6 linked regions of the Mus musculus genome follow. The protein of the gene in region 4 interacts with the protein of the main gene of each other region in a biochemical or structural test. Links are inferred from orthologs where the notes say so. Each region holds a gene or a part of one and is shown on either strand. Other genes may lie near its edges.

Region 1 (3,500 bases), on a different chromosome or scaffold from region 4:
TATAGGTAATACATACAATCTACTTCTAAGACAACAAAACATACCAGAACCATTTAAGTATTTAAAGATATCGCCAATAACTACACTTGGGCGGGAGGAGGGATCACCGCCTCCGGCCAATTAGGTCAACTAGTAGCAAACCACCACAGTAGATATTAACTGACATCAAAGTTCAGCAACAGATTTTTGCAGGACTTCTAATAGAATAGCATTACATTCTTTTAAAAAAAGTATGGTAAACTACAAGTCAGTAATTCTTATATATTTATCTTTTTACAATTCACTGCTGATGCACACAGTTAACTGAGTAACATTTAATTAATAAGCATAAAGTCAAACCACCTTAACTTTTTACAAGGAAAATAGTGAAACAAGCAAACCTGTTGTGGTCGGGACCCACTTGGGTGTACTTATATTCTCCTTGGATCTTTTCTTTTTGGAAATACTGGTTCAGACGAGCCTTAGCATTTTCCAGTGTCCAATTTCCATGAAGCCCAGCATTTAAATCCACTTCTTCTGACTCTAGAGTCTGTAGAATCAATGATGAGTAAATTTGGCTGCACTACTACACTTACATAAGGTACAATAATAATGTACAGTTTGGGTTTTTTTTTTTCAATATAAAGTCAGATTTTTATTTTTGTAGTGCTGAGATCCAGGGGTTTGAACATGGCTAGTCAACCACTTTATCACTGAGTCTGTTTTTTTGTTAAACATTTATTATTATACATAAGTACACTGTAGCTGTCTTCAGACACACCAGAAGAGAGCGTCAGATCTCATTACGGATGGTTGTGAGCCACCATGTGGTTGCTGGGATTTGAACTCAGGAACTCTGGAAGAGCAGTCAGTGCTCTTAACCACTGAGCCATCTCTCCAGCCTGAGCCTGTTTTTGAGATAGGATATCACTATGTTCTTAGAACACTATAATCCAGGTTGGCCTTGAACTAGTCATTCTCCTGACCCTCTCTTTAATGCTGCGACTACAAGCATGTACACCAGGGTTATGCAACCAACTAGTAAAATAGGCTTTCTAGCTAGGGCCACTGGAATGAAGGCCAGCCTGGGATTGAAGACTGTCTCAAAACAAACAAATCAACAACTCAATGTGCTATTAACTTGTATAGGTACTCAACTCTGCTGTGAAATAAATCCCAAGTCGCATTTTCAAAAATGTAAATTAACACTATGTAAGATTCCTCACCGCTTGTACTTCTTGTTCTTCCTTTCTTGAGTAGTAATCTTTAAGGTTGGCTCCTCGGTCCCAAGTAGGTCCAGGAGAGCCATAGCCAGAAGACTCAACTCCAGAATTATTTTCTGCTATTAAAAAAAGAAAATTGCTCTTTTAACTAACCAAGTTTGGGGGAAGAAAGCTACATATTTTAACAAATGTCCCTGACTACATGTTTGTATACAGGTTTTCAATAATCTGCAAGGACATCTGAAATAATCAGGACTGTATTGGTCAGCCTATTTATTTATGGTTGTCTATGTCTATGCATGTGGAAGCCATAGTGTAACCTCCAGGAAGCAGTCAAGTAGTTTAGTCTGATAATTAATGTTAACTGGCAACTTTACTCTTAATCCCAAGGTAGTATGGTCTGTTAGAGATTGTCTTGGTTAATGAGAGAAGATAAGACACTGTAAGTGTCCCATTGCTTGGATAATGAAAATAGAAAACTAACAATTAACAGCACAAATTCCCTGCTCTCTGCCAGGTGATCAGCTGTCCACGCTTTTGCCACTTTCAATCTTGTCATGGACTATAAAGCAGAATAAATAAACCCTTTCTCATTTGACCAGCTTTTCACTGGGCTAGCATATTTAGGTACCTAGCAGGCCAACTTTCCCACAGAACCATCTGTCTACACAATATGGATGCTGGTGGGGTACAGAACACAAGTACTCATACTTGGTTGAGTTTCTCCTAAGCACTAATCTGTACTTTTTTTAAACTTTATTTATGTACATGAGTACACTGTAGCTGTCTTCAGACACACCAGAAAAGGGCATCAGATCCCATTACAGATGGTCATGAGCCACCATGCTATTGCTGGGAATTGAAGGCAGGACCTCTCTGGAAGAGCAGTCAGCGTTCTTAACTGCTGAGCCATCGCTCCAGCCCCCTAATGTGTACTTTAAGACATACTTATTTCAGTTGTTTTTATACATAAATAACAAAGCACAAAACTATCCAGACTAGGAAATGTCTAGCTGGTAAAGGTATGAACCTAATAATCTGAGTCTATATTGGATGCTGAATGTATTTTGTCCTGTCTTCTATACACTTGTGCTATTAAAAAAAGGGGGGGGTCCTCAAATACAATATGTAAGCACACAGGGGAGGTCAGTCTATTATTTAGCTTTGGCTGTACCAAAACTTGGTATGTAGACCAGAACACCTCTGAACTCATGAGGATCTATTTGCCTCTGCCTCCCAAGTAAGTGCTGGGATTAAAGGTGAGTATGCCACCGTGGTTGGCCCAAAAGCAATACATCTTTTTAAGTAAAACATTTAGAGATGCTGAAAATGAAGTTTGTTTAATACAATGCTAGGATGTCTACAAAGCACCAAGCAAGCAATGGGTTCAACCCTCACCACAGAATAACACTGGGTGTGGTAAACAAGCCTGAAGCCCAGCTTTGGGAAAGTAGAAACAGGAGAATCTGAAAGTGTAAATTCATTCTCCAAATTACAGCCTAAATAAAAACAGAAACACAAAACCTAATTCTGAAAAGAAAGCTAACCCCAGGACTAATAATTAGTAGCCCCTAAAAGTTTTGACTCTATATAAAACCAGAGTGGGATGCAAAAGAGATGGTTCAGCAGATAAAGAGCACTGGTTTCTCTTACAAGACTTATGTTTGATATGCAGTACCCATGAAGGCTCAGGTTTAACTCCAGTTGTGGAGTGGTGGCCTCTTGTGGCCTCCGCAGGTACTGCAGGCAAACATCAATATGCATGAACTCTAAAGTGACAGATTAGTATATAGTTTTATAATTTGTTCAAGTCAAAACAATAGGATAGATGCTGTAAATTGTGTTTCAGTATTTGTTAGAAACCTGGTCAAAATCTTACTCTGCTCTTAATAACCCAAATAAAATTTTCAGCAGGACTAGAATCCACAAATCCTATTACAGGTATACAGGTAGGGCAAAACAAAAGGTGGATGTAATACAAAATTCAGCCACAGAGTATCTAATATGTGCAAAGCCCTCTAAGCCTGATACACAGCCATATAAAAGGCAACTCATAAAATTCTTTAACCCACTTGGTGGCCCATAAGTATTGCAGGTAAAACAGCTATAAATTTAAATCTTTTAAACAGAACAAACCCTAAAACAGTGGCTGCTTGAATGGGATCACCTAATAAACATGTTTATTGATTTCTCTATACAAATGACAAGGTGAGGTGACCAAGCATGACTGTGTTATCCTCCATTAAGTACATATATTCAAGTCCCTTACCTTCTGCTTTGAGAGCCAGATGAGGAGGA
Region 2 (4,114 bases), on a different chromosome or scaffold from region 4:
GCTCTTCCTCCTGGGATCCTCTGCTGACCCCACACTGGCTCAGAAGCACTGAGGTTAGGGTGGGGGCTCAGAAAAGAGTCTCTTTCTACCCAACAAGCTGCAACCTGAATGTGGAAGAGGGAAAGCCATCTTGCTAGAAAGAGGGGGCATGCCAGGACCAACTTTATCAGTCTTTGCCTCCACCCCCTATGCCCTTTTCTCATGCCCCAGAGCAGCCACCACCCATCAAAGGGGGCTGGCTATTACTCTGAGGCACTCTAGAAACACCCTGTTCAGCTTCAGAGGAAATTCTCAGGAAGGGGCCACGAGAGGGTGGCCATGAGTCACCAGACCAGGCTTAGGGAGAGAAGTAGATAGTGCAGAGGCCTGGGTTCTCAGCGGGCTTCTAGTGTGCCTTGGCTGTTCCTCCCTCACCTGCTGTCCTCCAGGGCTGGTTCCAGCATGCTCCCCCCTTTGAGGTGTTTGAGGGCCACCTCAGCTGCCTTGTGCTTGGCTGCCTTCTTGCTGGGGCCCTGACCTAAGAAAAGGGGCGTGGGCAATACTGGAGGTCACCGGCAGGACAGCAGAGAAACCAGCCCCCACAGCCTATCTCCTCATAGCCAGAGGGAGTGAGAAGAGCCCTCTGACCAACCTCCCCTGTCAGAACTGGAAGGGTTCTACTAATTGTTGGACTAGCCTTTTTCCTAGTTAGCATTAACAGTCAACTTGGCACAACCTAGGATCTAAAAGGATCTGAAAGGAGAGCCTTAACTGAGGAATTGCCTACATCAGCCTGGCCTGAGGGCATGTCTGGGGGTGGGTGGGGGGGATGGACTGATAGTTAATTGATGCTGATATGCACAGCCCACTATTGTGGTACCACCCCTAGGCAGGTGGTCCTGAACTGTGTAAGAAATCTAGTAGAGTATAAATAAGCCAGCCAGCCAGCATGGAGTATCTGCCATTGTTCCTGCTGTGCTTCTGTGGCTGTGAAGTGAGTTCCTTAGTCAGAAGTAGCAAGAATCAGATTATTTTCTTTGGTCTTGACTGATAATGTGAGTTTCTTCCTTAGCTTCCCTTAGTCATGAATGTAACCTGAACTGTAAACCTATCAACCCTTTTCCTCCTCTAAACTGCTTTTAGTTTCGGAGCCTTACTACAGCAACAGAAATGGGCCTTGAACACCTCCTCTTTCAGTCAGCTCCCGTAATGAAACTGTGCCAGGCAGGATTTTTGAGCTCCAACACTGGTGGGTTGCGGAGGGATGTTTTGCTCTGTCTTTCTTTCCCCTTTTCTCTTCCCTCGGTAAATAGGAAATAGAGACAACTGAGGGTCTGAAGTCAAAGCTCTGCTCTGCCACTTATTACATGTGAACTGGAGCCTACCATTTAATTTCTCATACTAAGTTCTTCGTGTTCAATGTGAGGCATGAAGGCTAGCAGAGTATGTGCTCCCCCTAATACCCACGAGGAGTTCAATGTCTCATTTACTCTTCCTCTGGGGTGATAAAGTAGCAGATCTCTGTGACATTTCCTGTTCTCGCCAGTGAGTCTCTCGGGTCCCGTCCACCGTCTCACAGCCCTGTTCCAATCCTTCTTTCCCCCTGAAATATCTCCATCCCTCCCTGGCTTTAAAGGAGAGGACTGTGAGGTGATCGCATGATATTAAGCCACGGGCCCTGTGAATGCACACCCCAGCCAGGCTGCCCAGGCCTTCCTCACCAGTGCAGCTGGTGTCGCCAACGGTGACCCGAAAGGTGAAATTAGGTTGATGGGCTTGGCCCTCGGCTTTGAGAAGGTCGTACACGGGCGTCTTTCCTATTCTGGTCCCATACTCCTGAAGAAGGCTGATCGGGGTCTTGCCCGGGTTGGCGGCCAGCATTTGCTCTATGCTGGGAAGGGGCACAGACCAACATCACACTTCCCCTTTCGGCACCCACCTGGCAAATCACTGTCACATTAGACCTAGCCACATTATAGGGTCCATGAATTCCCAGGCAGTATAGCATCCATTGGCTGGGTTAAAAGTTAAGGTGCATGAGGGAAAGCAAGGTCCCAAGGCAAGTGGAGAATGTACTGTTCTCAGTTAAGGCGAGGGATCCTGTGCCGTGGTGCTGGTTGAACGTGCATTTCCCCCGACACAATACAATTCGGGAACCCAGTACCCACCAAATACACTGAACGTCGGGGCATAAAGCCCAGGGCTCTAGTGCAGTCTGGGAATCAAGCCAACCCCAAACTAGAGCTGGAGGCGTTGGCCACAGCCCCAGTGCATGCCGGGAACCTCTGCCCACTACCCCAGTGCTTGCTGGGAACAACCCTCAGGCCAGGTGCATGCTGGGGCCGCGCCGCCGCCCCTCCTCACCACCTCACACTTTTCGTCCTTCAGGAATCCAAGCGAGGCAGCTCACCTGGGCAGCCCGCAGCCTGTAGTAGTGCCGGAGCCCTGATCCTCTTCACTCATTCCCTCCTCCGTCCCCGCGGGCGCCACCGTGACTACAGCCTCCACGCACCCCAGTACACCGCCGAGGAGCTAGGGCCGGGGCCAAGCCCGGAGTCGCGGCCGGTAGGGCCCGCCGCGGGGCATGCTGGGATCTGGAGTCCCCCGCCCACTCGGCTCCTTGTGTCTTCTTATGGATCCGAGCTACCCGCCCCACAACCCTCAGCGAGACTCGCCCGGGCATCTGCACCGCCTTCTGGGAGGAGCAGACCCTCGGCGGAAGCTTCCCAAGCTACTACGAGTGGGTTGGGTTTTTTGTTTTTTTGGTTTTTTTTTTTTCCTAATGTCATTCCCGCCTTCCTCCTTGCGCACCGCCTCCTCCCAAGCCGACACTGTGAGCATGCGTATTAGCTGCGTGTAGGCGGCCAGGGGCGGGGCGGTAAGGTCTGTCTCCCTGAGAGAACTACAGAACCCAGGCGCCAGCGCGTCATTCGGGCGCCGCTGCGGGCTTCGCTGCTTTATTGGCTATACTGAGAGCGACTTCCTGTAGGCGCTTGCAGATTGGTCACTTGGCCCAGAGGGCGGAGACGAGGAAAGGTGTAGCCTTCTCCTTGAGGAAAGGCTGTGATTGGCCGAAGTCCTTTTGCTGCCCCAGAGGGTGTGCCTTACCTGGCCACCCCCACCCCAGAGCTCTGGGGTTTTATAAGTCCGGAGTTCTCCTCAGACCCGGTCTCCCAGGCTGTAGCGTAAGCTTCTCAGCACTCCGTGTCAAAAAACCCGTTGCTTTTCTGTGGCTTGTCCTTCGCCTCTCTTCACTAACTCCACGCAGCCTGACAGGGTTCGTGCCTCTTTAGATCAGCCCTAGTGAACCTCTTTTAACTGTCCCGAGAATCATTAGATGGACCTTCTGTGTTTAGTCTCACCTGAAAGAGCACAGGAATAATTAACGAACTAATATACGCGCAGAGCTTAACGATTACCTTTGGCTCTCCAAAGCCTTGATACCACCAGAGTGAAAGAAATATGGGAAATCTTGTGACCTTGGACAGAAGGAGAAAGTGATACCACGAAAAACGTGATTCAAAGAGTGTTTTTTAAAATGGGTCTAGGATAAGATGTCTTGCTAGAAAGGAATAGGGTTAGAGGTAAGAGGAATCAGTAATGAAAACGAGCGATCGGTCATCCAGGAGCACAGAAGTGGGAAGGGACCTACGGCTGGGTGGATTCCAATTGGGTGAAAATGGAGCAGCGACGAGGGAAGGCCAGCTGGAGATGTCGGTATGACAAGGGACCAGTGCCAGAGCGTTGTGTATACTGATGGACTGCGCTCTCGGGGTGTAGGAAAGAATCTGTAAGACAGGTCACAAGGGGATCCTACAGATTCCGCATGAGGACCAAAGTGGAACTGCCGTAGAACACCTCCAGGAAGGAGCCTGGATCGCGCCGGATGGCAGCCACAGGCTCCTTTAAGAGGCCGGCGACTCCAGCGCAGCATCCCCCGCTCAGGGCGTGTCCGTCCCGGGGGGCCAGGGGCGGGGGCTTTGGAAGGAGCGGGAGTTCAAGTCGAGTGGGGACGGGGCTTCGAGTAGGGGGTGGGGGCTAAAAGCTGGGGCTGACACCCGTACACCTGAGTTCCACACGAGCATCGCCGGTGACAGCTCTCCAGGTCCGGTGGAGGGCAACGGGGGGAGGAGGG
Region 3 (4,108 bases), on a different chromosome or scaffold from region 4:
TCCTGTTCTCACAGAACTCTCCCTTATGTCTTCTCTCTGCAGCCTTAAGTGCAGTGTGGCAGCACCTGACCTGCATGCCTCCTCAAGACAGAGGCTAATGGACCCAGATATAACTAAGCCATTTAAGAAAACAGAAGCTAACAATTTGCTACTCTGTATCTTAATAACCTCATCACCAATTCTAACAAACAGCATAACCTCTAATTCAATTCCTACAGATACTTTATTACACCAGTGATTCTCAAAATGTGGTCATCTGGGATCCTCTCAGAAATGAAAATTTCACTTTCCATCAAGACCTACTAAATCAGACGTTCTGTAAGTGTGCCCAACTCTTACAAGTATTCTATGTGAGATTCTGGTATACAATCAAGCTGGAGAACCACTGTTTTGGGAGGAAAAGCAGGTTTTGGTATTTGAGGATTTTTGGTTTTTGTTCTGTTTTGTTTAGGGGAGGGTTGTTTGGTCTTGGGTTTTCTTTTGGTTTTGGGTTTGTTTTTAGACAAAGTAAACAGTAGCTCAGAGTGGCCTAACACTCTTTAATTGATGATAATCCTCCTGCCTTAGCTTCTTGATTGCTGAAATCACAGGTATGAGCCAGCACACCTGGGAAGACCACTACACTGAGCCTGCCAGGAAACCACCCCCCCTGTCACTTTCTATTGCTAACTTAAAAGGCTGATTTTGCTCGGCCGTCCGACTTTAAAATGCTTGAAGTGAATGCTATGTACAATTTCCTGTTCCCACCTTCATACAGAGGTAAATTTTATTTTTAAAGATTTTCTTTACTCTGTGTACACACACACAAGGGCTCATGTGTGTGCATGTGTTCTCTCATTCTCTCATACCCCACCTCTCTCCCTCTCTCCCCACCCCCCACCCACACACACACCCCTCTTTGGGTGCTTGTGGAACCAGAAGACTGAGTTGTGAGTAATTACAACTAACTCACTGCATCCTGATCTGGTACTAGGAATGCAACTCCAGTCTTCTGCAAGGCCAACAAACACACTAACCATTTCTCCAGTCCCAAGATAAATTTTCATTAAGCTCTTGGAACACCAGCTCCCAGATGTGTAACACAGAGACTATCACATATCTCTGTGGAATAAGAGCTGGCTTACAGAAATGCTCTTTCCTTCTCCATCACCTGCCATTCTGCACAGGTAATACTCCTGGAAAAGCAACACTGGCTTTCTCCTCAGAGAGGCCACTGGTGCTTTCCTGACGGGAAAACTCGGAGTTTTCTTATAGAAATACCACAGTAGAGAGATGAAATGCTAAAAGTCCTAATCCTGCAAAGAACAGAAACTCGAATAAGGTGCTTGATCTACAAGCTCCTGGATGAGGTAAGGCAAACAAAAATAAGCACTCCCATGTCTGGAGAGTAAGTTAAATCGACACTAAGTAGAGCATAGACAACTTTCCCTTAAGTTACTAAAATAAGTCACTAATGATAACTGGGCACAATCAATGCAGATGGAAAGAATTAGAAAATGAAAGAAAGTTAGAACATATGACCCATACTAAAGTGGTCCAGGCCTTCAAATTCCAATCCCCTCACTTTTGAGGCTGGCTCCAACATCAAATTATTGGTCTCAATATTGCCACAGTACACATTCTGATTTGGGGTTCAAAGAACGTATGGTGATCAGGAAGCCAAAACCAACAAAAACCATACCTTTAATGGTTAAAAACCTAAGCATATGTCTTTAAAAAAAAGAAAGAAAGAAACCCGCATAGACTTCTATGATGGTTTCATCATAAACTGTTCCCAATTTCAGTTCCTCAGTCCCTCCAAATGGAATATTCAACTGTTTACTCTTTCCATGACAACTATCCCCAGACTTACAGGAATGAGTACAGAGCAGTGCCCAGGACAGATGTCACTACAGCACCGTAACCAAGTTGGGAAGTTCAGTGGGCATTTGGGGCTTCAATGTCTAACTCCTCCCCGCTCTGACACCCAAGATAGGACAGGCCTCTATTTTTTGCTATTCTGTTGGGAGTAGCCAACATTCCAGTCTGGAGCCCAGGGTGAAACGTAAGCGCTCCCTATTTTTTTTTTTAAGAGACTTTTTTTTTTTTTTTTTTTTGCGATGACTAGAAAAAGTAACGTCAGTGGGGGGACAAAGTTGAATGTCGCCTTGCTGGGAACTGTGAAGCCACAGCCAGCCCAGCAAGTTAGGCGCCGGGAGCTCCGAGCCCAGAGGTGGGCTTCTCCAGGCACCAGCCTAAGTTGCGCGCCCGACGCGGGGTCGTGAGGGAATGGGACTGGCTTCGGAAAGGGCCCTGGCCCGCCACTCCGGAACCGGGACCCGTCCCGTGCATGCCGCCGTTTCGCCTCCTCCCGGCACCCCCGATCCAGGGTCCCCCGGACGCCGGACTCCCGGCTGCGCTGGCCCAGGCCGCCGAAACCGGCCTCGCGCGCGCGGCCCGCCAGTCCCGCCTCTCAGCCCACGGAACCGGAACCGGGCTCGGACCCAGCCTCGCGCCCCGGAGCGCCGCTCCCAGCCGGGACCGGGACCCGAAGCCCGCCCCGGGAGCAGGGCGGGACTCACCTTCGTACTGCAGGTCCACCAGGACCAGCAGGAACGGGAACACCGCGCCCAGCCGGCTGCCCACCGAGCCGGGGGCCACCATGTCCAAGGGCGCCTGAGCCGAAGAGCAGGAAGGTGCGCGGCCCAGCAGCCCGCGCGGCCAACAGCCCGCAGCGAAGCGCCCCGTCCACTCGCTCGCTCGCTCGGTCAGCGCTCGGGCCTCAGCGGCGGCTGGCGCCCGGCGGCGGAAAACAGCGGTAGGCGGGGCCCGCGGAGCCACGCCCCGGGCGCCGCCGCCGCCCAATCGCCTTCCTTCTGGCCACAGAGCGGCCCAGCTCGCCCGGGTCGTGGTTGGCGCTGATTGGTTGTGGGGGCTGGCGCCCCGCCCCGCCTCTGATAGGATAACGTGGAAGCACAAGACGAGGCTGCGTCCGCTGGTCGTGGAGCTGTCAGCGGGCTCCAAACCGCCGCCGAGCGCCGAGGAGGAAGAGGCTGGGGAGGCCGGGCTGCGGCCGCCGAGTCCGCATGCGCGGGCCCTAGAGCCCTTCTGGGCCGGCCTCGCGGGCTGGCTTGGCAGGGGCGGCGGGTTCCTGGAGCGAGCCCAGATTCCTTCGGGTAGTGTTGGGGGATAAGGCGCCGCCGCCTGGGCTGGTAAGGCCAGAGAGTCTCAGGAAGTCTCCAGGGACGTCCGAGAGAGATGACTGGACTTCTTGAATGAAATGGGGGAAGAAACCCAAATAGCCACTCCGTGGGTGAAAAGGGGAAAAAAAAAGTTTATTCCAAACTGCGAAGGCTGTCTCTCGGGAAAGCAGAGAGAAGCGCTGCGCGGGCTGGGGTGATGGTGGGGATTTATCTTCTGGGTTATATGGGACCTTGACGGGCTAATAGACCCCACTGTCATAAGTTAATGGAAGAGCCAAATGTCCCTTTTCCCAGAGATAGGAGAATAACTCCACTTAGCAAGTAGGAACTATCTTCACCACCACCACCACCCCGAGGGAATGCTGGCTTTTGTCTAGATGCCCTACCTGGGGGAAAGGAATTTCTTGGGGGACCTGACACTATTGAGGTCTGCTAGTGGATCAGAGATGCAAGAGCCATTCTACCAAGTCTCACAGTTGGTCTGGGTGGCTCTCTTAAAATCCGCAGTCCTCTCAGTCTCGCCAAAGAAACTTCCAGAATCACTTTTTTTTTTAGGTTGGCTTAATGGTTTCTGGGGCTATTTCCTGCCCTAGACTAAGTATCTATTGATGCATCCTTAAAATGCTTCCAGTGCCTTTAGCTCACCCTACATAACAAAGTCCCTACCCATTACTTGCTCAGTCTTCAGTATTAGCCCTCTGCTTTCCCAAGCAATGACCTTAGTTTGGAATAAACTTTTCTCTTATACACCCACCAAGTGTCTATTTGGGTTTCTTTACTGTGCCTATTTCATTCAAAGACATAAGAACTTGGACAAGATTGTCGTTAAATTAATCAGGTAGGTTACGCCCATAGCTGCTCTGTTTGAACAGACACTATATGGCAGCAACGTTTTACACATCGCTAAATAACGTGGGTTTGTTATT
Region 4 (3,500 bases):
TCAAAAGGGAAGAAAACTGAATGAATAGTAAAGCCATATCCCAAACCACAGCTGTTCTCATTCTCAATGTATAAGAAGAAGACAGAGGCTTAAATGGTAGCTATCCAAAGGTATGCATCGTTTGCATCTCCTTTTGACTGTCTGTAACAGTTTTCAATAGCTACATCATGGTTGATACTCTGTTGAGAAGATGTGTTAAAATCTTTGAAGTTCACAAACAAGTCCCATTTGGGCAGCAAGGGTAGTCAACCCAAGCAGCAAGCAGAGCCTAACTTAGAAACTTCACTGTGTGACAAACATAAATCGAGGGGCTTAGTTTATGCAAAGAAGCCAAGACTCTGTACAATGAAAGCTTTACAGCAACAGGGCTCAAGAGCTAAGACACCGTGCGGTTTTCCTGAAATTAGCCTGTGGCTCTTTTTAGGTCAATGTGATACAAGTTTGAAACATCAGAGAGGAGGGAGCCTCAAAATGGAGAAAATTGAGGAAACCTCCTTAGACCAAGTTAAGTCAACAGCTTGAGGTTTCAGCACTATCTCAAAATGATACAGTCATATTTTAAACTGAAATAAATAACCAATGTTAGTAAGGTAAGGTCATTTCAGGATAAGTCAAACTCTTGTAGTCAGGAAAAAAAAATCAAGGAGGACCAGAAAGAAATTAGCAGGCAAAGAAGGATAGGCACATAAAGGCGAGAGCTGGGAGTTCAACACACTGTTCAAAGAGCAAGACAGGTACTCACTCCGTGTTATATTTAACGCGCTTAATAGCGTATCTCTTTCCATCAATTCTGTGTTTCGCTTTGAAAACTTGACCAAATCCACCTAAGCCAATTTCTTCTATGTCTTCAAAATCGCTGTTAAACCTAGATAAGATTGATATTGCTGTTACCCTGAGGTTCAGTGTTTCATGTATGATGAAAATGATTCTTCCCTTATTGTTTTTAATAATGTCTGCCAGAACTCCTGAGTCACAAAAAAACATCTCCCTCTTCCTTTTTCTCTTGACCTCCCATATTAAACAGAGAATTCAGTATAACAGATCACCCCCTCTGGCTGTACATGATGAAGCATCCTCTCTAGCAGCTACAAAGAAGAAATGAACCCCACCTCAACAAGTATTAAAACGAATCACTCAGTTGTACGCCACAAGGACCACAGAAAAAGCACAAGCCCAAGGTTGCCTATAGCGACCTGTTTCTTTCCCTCCATTTCCCCATCTCCCATCCTTAAGGCCTGCTAATTCTTCCAACCTGCAGCACTCCCATCTGCTGATGTTTCGTCATTTCTGGCATCCTTACTCCAGCTCAGCCATCAGGCCCCTACAATGGTGGCTTGCTGACTGACACCCAGCTCCTCCTACCCTAATTTAGCTGTGAAAACTTAGTCTGATAGTGTCTCCCTCTCCCCTAAACCTTCTACAAACCTTACCTTTGCATTCAGCAAAACCCAGGAAACCCTTAAATGCCCAATAAAATGCAACATAGCATGTCCCCAGTTCTTTCTCCAATTTCATCCCACTACACCTTATTCTTTGCATTGCACTTCAATGCAATTTTTCTCTACAAAAAGGTGACCCTAGGGCTATCTTTCCATTTCTTACCATACTACTGTTCTTCTTTAACTCTGGCCATATTTTGTAATTACAGCGTATGTGTGTCATATAAATATGTGAATACTGATCACGTGGGTATGGTTGTGCACATGTATGTGTGTGCATGTATGTGTGCGTGCTTGTGTATATGTCTGTATGGTATGTGTGTGCATGCATGTGCGTGCCACATGCCAGAGATTGGTGACAGAGGTCTTCCTTAGTTACTCTCCACCTTTTTTATTGTTTTGGTTTGGTTTTTGTGACAGGGTTTCACTGTGTAGTCCTGGCTTCCTGAAACTCTTTCTGTAGCTCAGGCTGGCCTTGAACTCAGAGATCTGCCTGCCTCTGCTTCCTGAGTGGTGGAATTGAAGATGTGTGCCACCACACCCACCTTGCACTTTCCTCTTTTTTTTCTGTTATAAGTTGGATTTTTTTATACTTTTTAAAAATTGGATATTTTATTTATTTACATTTCAAATGTTATCTCCTTTTCCAATGGTTTCCCTCCTACAGATCCCCATCCTATTCCCCCTCCCCCTGCTTCTCTGAGGGTGCTCTCCCACCCACCTACCCACTCCAGCCTCACTGCCGTAGCATTCCTCTACACGGGGGCATCGAGTCTTCATAGGACCAATTGCCTCCCACTGATGCCCAATAAGGCCCCTTCAGCTCCTTCAGTCCTTCCCCTAACTCCTCCACTGGGGTCCCTGTGCTCAAGCCGATGTTTGGCTGTGACACACTTTACTTTTTGAGGCTGTCTCTTTTGTTGAGGTTGGAGCTCACTGACTGGTTATGCTGGCTGTGGATCGCTCATCTCCATTCGGCCACCATTGAGAGTTCTAGGTGTGTGCGCTACTGCACCTGTCTATTTATAGGGGCACTTGGAATTCAAACGTAGGCCCCTCATGTTTGCACAGCTGAGCCATCTCCCCAGCCTCTGAATATACACGTGTTTAATTATAAGTATTTCCTTAATGCCAGTGGCCACCTCCAAATTTTTTCAGAGAAAGAGTTCTATTTTATTTGTTCCTACCCTAAGCCACCAGCCCACAACAGTTACAGGTAAGGGCTAGGTGCTTAATAAGCATTCAGAATTTGTTCACAATGTTCCGCTGCCGCACACCGGCTTCTTGCATCTTAGGTGTTTCATTTTTAACTGAACCATCATCTACAGAAGGTGAGCCCCCTTTCCTTTTTTTTCCTAGTGAAGTCTTGTGTGAACAAGCTAGAGAACAGGCCCACGCTGACTTGTGTCCATCCCCACAGGCATTCCTCTCTTCCCTCCACACCTATCTTCCTCCCTATCCTTTCTCTTCTCTATTTATTTTTCTTCCAAATCGCTGAAAGTCCTACTTGCTTTTCAGTTTCAACGGCATCCATGGATATCAGAAAGCCTGATAACATCACCGAGGTCTGCATCCGACACGTTCCACTTGGATCCCTAAACCTCACTTCTCTGAGAGACCATAACCCTCCATGGGCCTGCCTATGCCACAGCCCACATTAATTACTTGGGTGGAAATACAACTCATAACCTGACCCTAAGCAACGGTTTCGAGAGTGAGCTTACCATTAGACAAACTCCGCTTACCTGGCGTCCAAGGTATATTTATTTCTTTGCACATCATCAGGGGATACTTTTCTAAAATTGAGACAAAAAAAAATAGAAAACTAAGACAAAACAACAACCTATAGAACTTTAGAGCAGGCTCCGCCCCACGCACCGGCCAATTTCTATTTTGCATCAGTCATCAGAGGGATAGGAAGAGACTGTTCACCTTCTTCAGAATAAACACTTCCTTTTGATTCTCTTCCATTCTTTCCTGCATCTCACTCCTGCATCTCACTTTTACCTGAACATGCGTGCCACTGGCATGCTATCACCTCCTTTTTCTTCAGACTCAGAA
Region 5 (3,500 bases), on a different chromosome or scaffold from region 4:
TTTACCTAACCCAACAACTGTCAGTACTTCTACAGCGACAGCATCAGGACCCCTGGGGAACGGTGACTCAGCACCACAGTCTGGACCAGTGTGCATGCTTTCTCTTTCTGACTGAAGGGTTGCCTATATTAAATAGGACAGGGTGCTAACGACTCTGAACCAAAGGGAAAGCGAGGGCTTACCTGATTTTTTTCTAGCTGTTTCCCGGCGGCTGCCTGCTCTTTTAGCTGCTCTATGGCTTTCAGTTTCTGTGAAATCAAAAGTGGGGAAGGAGAAGGAAGAAACAGTTACTTTCTATTGCAGATTCTTGTATTAACAACAACCATACTTCATTTCTCTAAACAATGGTTTGCTAAAATGCAAGGATAAATTCCTGTTAAAAGTTAAATATAAAATTATAGCTTAAATACATGGGGCTGTGTAAAATAGGTTTTGCAAGTTTTTGTTGTTTAGTTATTCTGTGCTAAGCTGCAGGACATACATGGAGGGCAGGGGAAAGCTCTGTGGAGTCTCTTCTCCCTTTCTTTTCATCTCTCTGGGGGTTTTCGGAGCAGGCTTGGGTTGTCAGGTTTGCATGTAAGTTTTTCATCGATGCTTGAGTGTCCAGGCGTGGACTCATGAGTGTAACACAAATGCAGCGTCTATTTCAGACCTCCACAGTGGCTGGGCGGTACCTTTGCATTTCAGAGAAGCCTCAACCCCAGACCTGCCCTTATACACCATAAGCTCCCTTTTGTGTGTGTGCTCCTTAAAAAACCTGGAATAAAGTATTTGTTTATTTGATATAAGGTATTTATTTCATTTAATAAATAAAATTTCTCTTGTAGCTCATGAGATGCTGAGGTAAATGTTCCAGGCTGGGGATGTGGCTCAGCAGGAGAGTACTTGCTTAGCACGCATGAGCTCTGGGTTCACTCTCCAGTCTCATAGCCTTCTCTACACAGATGTGTCCCTATCATTCCTCATTACTTCAAAATTAAACACTTAAGTAGTTTCCGACATTAAAGATTGGTGAATGGAACTGAGCTGAGGTCTTTTCTCAATTACAGTATTTCTATAGAAAGAAAGCAACAATGAGCACTGTTACCAACTTCTTAAATCCCTGTTTTAAGCTCCTGAGCTCCACTCTTAATTCTCGTGCACATATCTGCTTTTCATTCAAGCCTCACCTTCTTTAGATTCTTAATTTTTTTGTCTACTTCAGGATCACCAGAAGCAGACTGGGTGACCGTGTTCCGTGGTGCACTCTGTGGGACAGGAGTAGGAGCCGCATCACTTCTTGCTTCCTAAAGGAAACCAAATTTGCACATGTATTTATTCTCTCCAGGTACCTGAGAGGGTCAGTGGGTCAAGCCGGACACCCTGAGTTCCACCCCAGGCCCCACACGGCAGAAGGCGCTGACTCCTGAGCACAGCCCGCAGGACCTGCTTCTCTCCTCCCACTCTGGGGTCTCTGGGGTCACACGTGAGCCTGACCTATTAAAACATGTTTCCAGAGATGGAATACACTAGGTGCAAATGGGAACAAGCATGTTCTAATTTCAAATTTTAGACAAGCATACTGTAATTCTCCCCTTTGAAACATAACTGGGGTAAAGATGCTTCTTGCCAAGTCTGAAGCTTGGAGTTGACCCCAGGGCCCAGCAGGGGGAAGAGAGCTGGCCCCTTAGGTGGCCCTCTGACGTCACTGTGGTGCACTTTCCTCCCAGGGAAACACCCCTCCAGGAGGGCGGGGGAGACAAATGGCCACAGATCTAGGAAAGCAGGGCCTGAAGGTCCCTCCCAGCTTCATAAAATGAACTGCTGGATAAAGACTCTGACCAGCCAGGCTAAAGAGAAGATTTTAGACAGGGGAGCAGGCTTGTAGGTTTTATAATTCATCACCCACATCGGGGTGGGCTTTGCAGTATCTGAAAGGGAGCTGCTTTTTGAGCCATTCTTGCTCCTTAGAGGTAAACCCCTTACCCACAGTCCTGCTATTATCCCCAGTAAAAAGTTACTAGTCTGCCAAGTTGGACACTGGCACAACTGTTACTTTGGCTGTTGTGGGGTCTGTTTCCTGGGCTGAAGAGGTGTGTGCGGCATCTTCCCAGGAAAACTCTGTCATGAATTCCACACGTGTCTGTGTGTCACAGGTGCTTGCTCAGACAAGTTCAAGGTTCAGAACCCACTTTAAAAGCCAGATACACATGACAGGGAGGATAAGAGGAGACAGCAGCATCACACTCTGAGGCCCACGAAGGGACCGGCTAGCCTGGAATATATAGCACAGTGGCAGAAACAGGGACTGCCTGTTCAACAAGGCTGGAAGGCTGAAAGCTACACACATCCAGACTGCCACCACCCAAAAGGACTAAGTGGTCCTGAGTGCACGGGATTAGTAAGTATCTTAAGAGGCTTTATGTCCTCCACCATAGGCGCACACAAAAAGGAAGTCCTTCCCCAGAGAATGAGTCCACCAGCATCTTGCTCAGACTCCAGCCACAAGATCTGTGGGTGATAGGCTTTTATTGCTTAGAGACTATCAACCTAAGGGAGGTATTTTGATCTAGTAAGTCTAAATAGACTAAAGTATCTGCTCTGTCTTAACCTCTAAAATATGGTTACCCTGATCCTGTCACCAGATACTCTTAATGCAGCTGGACACAATATCACCACGAACCAATGAACTGTATCACTGTAATTTACATCAATTATTACAAGTACATAATGTCTTTTGTTTAAGTATTGACTTAGTTGGGTTTTCATTCCTTTTCTTAACTTTCTTTTGGAGCCAAAGCCCCGCCTGGCCTGGAGCTCATTAAATATCCTAGGCCAGGCTGAACTCAAACTCCGAACAACCCTCCAACCTCAGTCTCCCAAGTGCTGGGATGGCAGGTATGAACTGCCCATACCCAGCGTGCGCTCGCTCTCGCTCTCTCTTCTCTCTCTCTCTCTCTCCCCTCTCTTCTCTCTCTTCTCTCTCTGGTTTTTCGAGATAGGGTTTCTCTGTGTAGTCCTGGCTGTCCTGGAACTCACTTTGTAGACCAAACTGGCCTTGAACTCAGAAATCTGCCTGCCTCTGCCTCCCAAGTGCTGGGATCAAAGGCGTGCGCCACCACTACCCAGCTGCCTTTGCCCTCTCTTAATACACATGTCCTTTGAGGAAAATAGACACTCCATCAAGAGTCTATAGCAGGGGGCTGGAGAGATGGCTCAGCATTTAAGAGCACTGACTGCTCTTCCAGAGATCCTGAGTTCAAATCCCAGCAACCATATGGTGGTTCACAACCATCTGTAATGAGATCGGATGCCTTCTTCTGGTGTGTCTGAAGACAGCCACAGTGTACTCATATACATAAAATAAATAATATCTTTTAAAAAATTAAAAAAATAAAAAAGAAGAAGAGTCTATAGTAGGAAACACTACACAATCCCATTGAAAGCTCAGGTTTCAAGGTCAGGTCCAGTTTGTCCTCAAGGTAGTGCTACTAAGATGTCGTAGAGCCTTCAAGAGGTGG
Region 6 (4,211 bases), on a different chromosome or scaffold from region 4:
GTTTTGGAGGCTGAGGCAGGAGGAAAATAAAATAAAATAAAAATCAAGGTCAGCTTGGGCTACATAGTAAGTCTCTGATTCAAAAACACAACGAAAAACACTAGCTGTTGTGAAGAGAATGCACACCACAAGACTCCAAGTTGAAAGAGCAGTTACAAGATGGGAGGAACTTTAGTCCAAGAGAAAGATAACAATGGTCTAGACCAGAGGTTGTCAACCTGTGGGTTTTGATACCTCCCCTGACTCCAAGGATTAGGTATTTACACTATGGTTCATGCAAAATTATGAAGTAGCTACAAAATGGAGTATGTAATTTCGTAAGTTATTAAGTAGTAACAAAATAATTCTAGGGCTGGGGTCACCACAACATGAGGAACTGAATTAAAGGGTTATATCATTAGGAAGGTTGAGAACCACTACTGTTCTAGAGCACAGGTAGCAAGAGAAAGAGAGATGCTGACTCAACAGTTGTCCAGAAGACAGGGATTTATGGCAACATAGACACAAAGACAGGGGGAAAAGGGGACAGGACAGAGTCAGCAAGACAACCTCAAAATTCTATTGACCAACTGACTCTGGTGCCTCCCAGCGGGGGGAAAAGGAATGTAAGAAAGAAAAATGAGTTTAAATGAAAAGATGGTTGAGTTCAGGACAAGAGTCTGAGATGTCTTTCCCTAATATGCCCAAGCAAAGATGCCCAGAAAGCACACAGGCAGATATGTCTGTTCCTGGCTGAAGACAAAGATTTCAGAGTTACAGTCTTTTTGTTTGTTTGTTTTTTGTTTTGTTTTGTTTTTCAAGACAGGGTTTCTCTGTATAGCCCTGGCTGTCCTGGAACTCACTCTGTAGACCAGAACTGCCTTGAACTCAGAAATTCACCTGCCTCCAGAATTATAGTCTTTAGATAGTAGTTGAAGCGGGGAAGGCTGAGAAGTTACGACAGGAAGACAGGGCTGTATGAGAGGGATCTAAGGTAGAGCAGTTGAAATAGGTTGCTCATCTCTAACCCAAATGCACTAAAATGGAAAATGGCTTTTCTTCTTGAACATTTCTCCCAAATATTTGAAAAATGACCAGCTAAAGTAGCAACGCAACTCTAACCGTGTGTATTTCCATAAGGAAACTTCCAGTGCATACTTACAACCAATCTACCCCACACACAAACATTTAAAAAGCTTCAGGTTTTTTTTGAAGTTGCTCCAATAAATATAGGCAACCTCAGGTCCCCATATTTGAATATATGATATGCTCAGACTAGCAGACAGTGGAACTTTAGCTTTTTCTAATTTTTCTTTGTATATTTACAAATTAAACTATTTAACAATTTTTATGCTTTCAGCTAAATAGGTATGTAGGAAAATAATGTCCACGTTTACAAATGGCAACTCTGGTAACCATTTTCTCAGGCTTAGACTAAAAGAAGGCATTAATCTGAACTTTAAAACTTCATTGGTGTGTGACCTTGGGCATGTAGCTTATGAAAAGGTTTTTAAAGTTGCCACTTCATGAATAAAAAGAGGAAACAATTTTATACAAAATACTTATATAGTATTTAGAACTAGAAGCTACTGTGCGCTGCAGCTTGAAGGAATACAGTATGGGAGTCTTCTATGTTTCCCTGATTTTTCATGGACACACACTCAAGCGTGGTAGGTACCAAGAATCCGAAGTTCCAGATGTGTCCATAAAAAGGGAAACTCGGAAAATTCTGACGGCGTGGCTACTAGCCTCTGCGCTGGTAACTTTGTAACTTTGAAAGGCGATAGCACCCACGGACTTGGCTATCGGAGCTCCAAGAATATTTCCAGTTTTTAATTCTTAAGAGGAACTTTAGCCGGCTCCCCAGGTACTGGAAAGTGTGCAGGATGCTGGGAGTGTCTGAGCTTCCTTACATCTTAGCGAGACAGAACTAGGGAGCGAAACAAATGAAGTTGATCCTGGAGTCTCTTGTCTTCAGAGTACACTCCCACAGCCATCTTAATTAAAAGGGCGCTTTTCCTTACTGAAAAGCAACATAGAATCAGGGCCTCCAATCCACATGGTCATGGGGAATTAACTGCATACAGACCTGTGCAAGTTATGTCACCAACGGTTACTCTGAAGGTGAAAGTGGGCACGTGTACTTGCACATCGGATCTTTCACATTCATAAACTGGAATGTTCTTGGTCTTCATGCCGTACTCGTGCAATACCTGAATCGGTGTTTTCCCAGGCTTAGCTGTTATCATCTTGCCCAAACTGCAAAAACCAGAAAAAAACGTAGGCATTGCACGTCAAAGCTGAAAGGGAAGCAAAAGCATCCACTTCTCAGTTTTGACAGTCACAAATGGTGACAAAAAGGTTCTGCAGCTCCCCAGCGGCCAGGATCAGTGGCAAGGCCTGGGCGAGCACCTGTCCCCGGGTGCTGCAGCCCATGGAGGAGAGTGGAGAGGTCTGTACAGAGAACTTGAGAGCGGTGGGAGGGATGCTGAAAGAAATCGGGTGGGCTTGGACTAGGCAGCTAGACACCCGGGTCTGCGCCTCAACACTGATCAAGTCCTCCCGATCGGCTAGCTGCCTAGGGTCACTAGAGGGGCGGGGCGCGCAGCAGACCCCCAGGGCCCGGAGGGCGGGCCCAGCGCCACGCCGGGAGAGGGGGGAGCTTTACCCAGAATGCTGCCCGACAGCCGGCTCCCTGCCCCTGCCCCGCTGCCCACCCGTCTTGGGCCTTGAGGCCTCGACGGCCCGGCGCTGACCTGAAGGTCCCGCTGTCCTCGCGCTGCAGCGGCGGGGCCTCGGCACGATGCCTGCTATGGGACATGGCGAGAAGGGACGGCTGGCCACAGCAATCAAGAGAAGTGTGGATCTGGGTCCTCCCTCTCCACGTCGGCCAGTTCCCGAGAGGAGCGTGCCCGCGCTGCCGCTTGGACGCCCCTCGAATCGCTGCCTGCCTCCCTCCAGCTAAGGGACAGGAGGAGAAGGAAGGAGAGGCGGGGCCTCGGCGCGGAAGAGCCGGCCACACCCCCTCTCTGCCCAGCCTCTCTGCCCCGCCCCTCTCTGCCATGCTCAGCCCCTCGATGTTCTTGCTCCACTTTGCCACAGTGCTCAGCCCTTTCCCGTTCCTCGGGCTCCGCCCTCTCTGCCAAGTTTCTGTCCTTCCCAGCTACCGCCCGCTCTCTAGTTGGGTTCCCAGAGCTTCTCAGAGCCCGGCCCCGCCCCTCCTGCGACCTGGCTCCGCCCTCTCTGCCAGTCCGGGCTCTTCCCAGCCTCTGCAGGCGCCTCCCCCCACCCCCCGTTCCGCTTCCAAAGCTTCTGAGCGCCCGGCCCCGCCCCTCACCCTTCTAGGCCCCGCCTCCATTGCATGTCCCGGCTCTTCCCGGCTCCTGCCTGCACCCCGCTTCGGTTCCCCGAGTTTCCCCTCCCGCCTTTAGTGGTGCAGAGAGCCTCAGTCCTTTGTCCTTAAAGGGAGGTGGCTTCCTTCTCAGCGAGAAAGCTAGTAGTAGGCTACGAGCCTAGCATGTTTGAGGAGCAAGGAAAAAAGATTAAGGGTTGGACTACTTTAAGAAAGATTTAAAAATTCGAATGGTAAATTACTAAGAAAATTGTGGATCTTGGCCCCGAAACTTGAGACCCGAGAGCGTCAGCTAAGGGGCAGCCAGTGGCTTTAAGAGCCCTGGATCCCTGGGCCCGCTGCTGTCTGGCGGGCCCGCTGCTGTCTGGCGGACTCTTGTGACCTGCTTAGGATAGTGGTTTTCATTCTTCCTAATGCTGTGACCCTTTAATTCAGTTCCTCATGTCGTGGTGACAACCCCTTCTCCCCCTCGCCAACTATAATATTATTTCTTGCTACTTCATATCTGTAGTTTTGCTACTATAATGCAACCCCAGGGGACTTGCAACCCACAGGTTTAGAACCTCTGCTTTGGGAACATGTGGGATCCCCAAAGAGATGCTGGAGGTGGAGTGCATAGCAAGGATATTTAGACCAGTTTCCAGGATTGCTCTTCCGGTTGACCTGTGCAATGGAGAGTGATGACGTTAACCTGGAACGCTCCACCTACAGAGTATGTTGTGGGTGTGTTAGCGCTTCAGAGCGTCTTAGAATTTGTGAACTATTTGCACAATGGCTCCTGTGTTTACTTAATGCTCTAGAATTGAATTCTAGAAATATTCTTACTGAGAGACTCCTAAAAGGTTTTTTTGTTTGCTTGTTTGTTTGTTTGTTTGTTTGT

Evidence for each region.
Region 1: the proteins of Eif2ak2 (region 4) and Dhx9 form a complex in vitro, tested with the Homo sapiens proteins (2 studies listed by BioGRID, with this or other methods). The link is inferred for Mus musculus from reciprocal best matches to the Homo sapiens genes EIF2AK2 and DHX9.
Region 2: the proteins of Eif2ak2 (region 4) and Tarbp2 form a complex in vitro, tested with the Homo sapiens proteins (2 studies listed by BioGRID, with this or other methods). The link is inferred for Mus musculus from reciprocal best matches to the Homo sapiens genes EIF2AK2 and TARBP2.
Region 3: the proteins of Eif2ak2 (region 4) and Dnajc3 form a complex in vitro, tested with the Homo sapiens proteins (2 studies listed by BioGRID). The link is inferred for Mus musculus from reciprocal best matches to the Homo sapiens genes EIF2AK2 and DNAJC3.
Region 5: of the proteins of Eif2ak2 (region 4) and Eif2a, one has a biochemical effect on the other in vitro, tested with the Homo sapiens proteins (4 studies listed by BioGRID, with this or other methods). The link is inferred for Mus musculus from reciprocal best matches to the Homo sapiens genes EIF2AK2 and EIF2A.
Region 6: the proteins of Eif2ak2 (region 4) and Prkra form a complex in vitro, tested with the Homo sapiens proteins (3 studies listed by BioGRID and IntAct, with this or other methods). The link is inferred for Mus musculus from reciprocal best matches to the Homo sapiens genes EIF2AK2 and PRKRA.

Annotation. Positions count from the first base shown.
Region 1 is NC_000067.6:153,477,661-153,481,160, forward strand, and holds part of Dhx9 (ATP-dependent RNA helicase A), read right to left. Parts: coding exon 3,472-3,500; intron 1,322-3,471; coding exon of another isoform or gene 1,319-1,321; coding exon 1,206-1,318; intron 530-1,205; coding exon 381-529; intron 1-380. UniProt on the Homo sapiens protein: Multifunctional ATP-dependent nucleic acid helicase that unwinds DNA and RNA in a 3' to 5' direction and that plays important roles in many processes, such as DNA replication, transcriptional activation, post-transcriptional RNA regulation, mRNA translation and RNA-mediated gene silencing.
Region 2 is NC_000081.6:102,516,878-102,520,991, reverse strand, and holds the start of Tarbp2 (RISC-loading complex subunit TARBP2), read right to left. Parts: upstream 2,801-4,114; 5' UTR 2,443-2,800; coding exon 2,390-2,442; intron 2,340-2,389; exon of another isoform or gene 2,148-2,339; intron 1,871-2,147; coding exon 1,701-1,870; intron 518-1,700; coding exon 415-517; intron 1-414. UniProt on the Homo sapiens protein: Required for formation of the RNA induced silencing complex (RISC). Component of the RISC loading complex (RLC), also known as the micro-RNA (miRNA) loading complex (miRLC), which is composed of DICER1, AGO2 and TARBP2.
Region 3 is NC_000080.6:118,936,624-118,940,731, reverse strand, and holds the start of Dnajc3 (dnaJ homolog subfamily C member 3 precursor), read right to left. Parts: upstream 2,801-4,108; 5' UTR 2,644-2,800; coding exon 2,562-2,643; intron 1-2,561. UniProt on the Homo sapiens protein: Involved in the unfolded protein response (UPR) during endoplasmic reticulum (ER) stress.
Region 4 is NC_000083.6:78,865,573-78,869,072, forward strand, and holds part of Eif2ak2 (interferon-induced, double-stranded RNA-activated protein kinase), read right to left. Parts: intron 3,236-3,500; coding exon 3,185-3,235; intron 866-3,184; coding exon 743-865; intron 1-742.
Region 5 is NC_000069.6:58,553,321-58,556,820, reverse strand, and holds part of Eif2a (eukaryotic translation initiation factor 2A), read right to left. Parts: intron 1,287-3,500; coding exon 1,170-1,286; intron 249-1,169; coding exon 183-248; intron 1-182. UniProt on the Homo sapiens protein: Functions in the early steps of protein synthesis of a small number of specific mRNAs. Acts by directing the binding of methionyl-tRNAi to 40S ribosomal subunits.
Region 6 is NC_000068.7:76,645,057-76,649,267, forward strand, and holds the start of Prkra (interferon-inducible double-stranded RNA-dependent protein kinase activator A), read right to left. Parts: upstream 2,801-4,211; coding exon 2,736-2,800; intron 2,239-2,735; coding exon 2,069-2,238; intron 1-2,068. UniProt on the Homo sapiens protein: Activates EIF2AK2/PKR in the absence of double-stranded RNA (dsRNA), leading to phosphorylation of EIF2S1/EFI2-alpha and inhibition of translation and induction of apoptosis.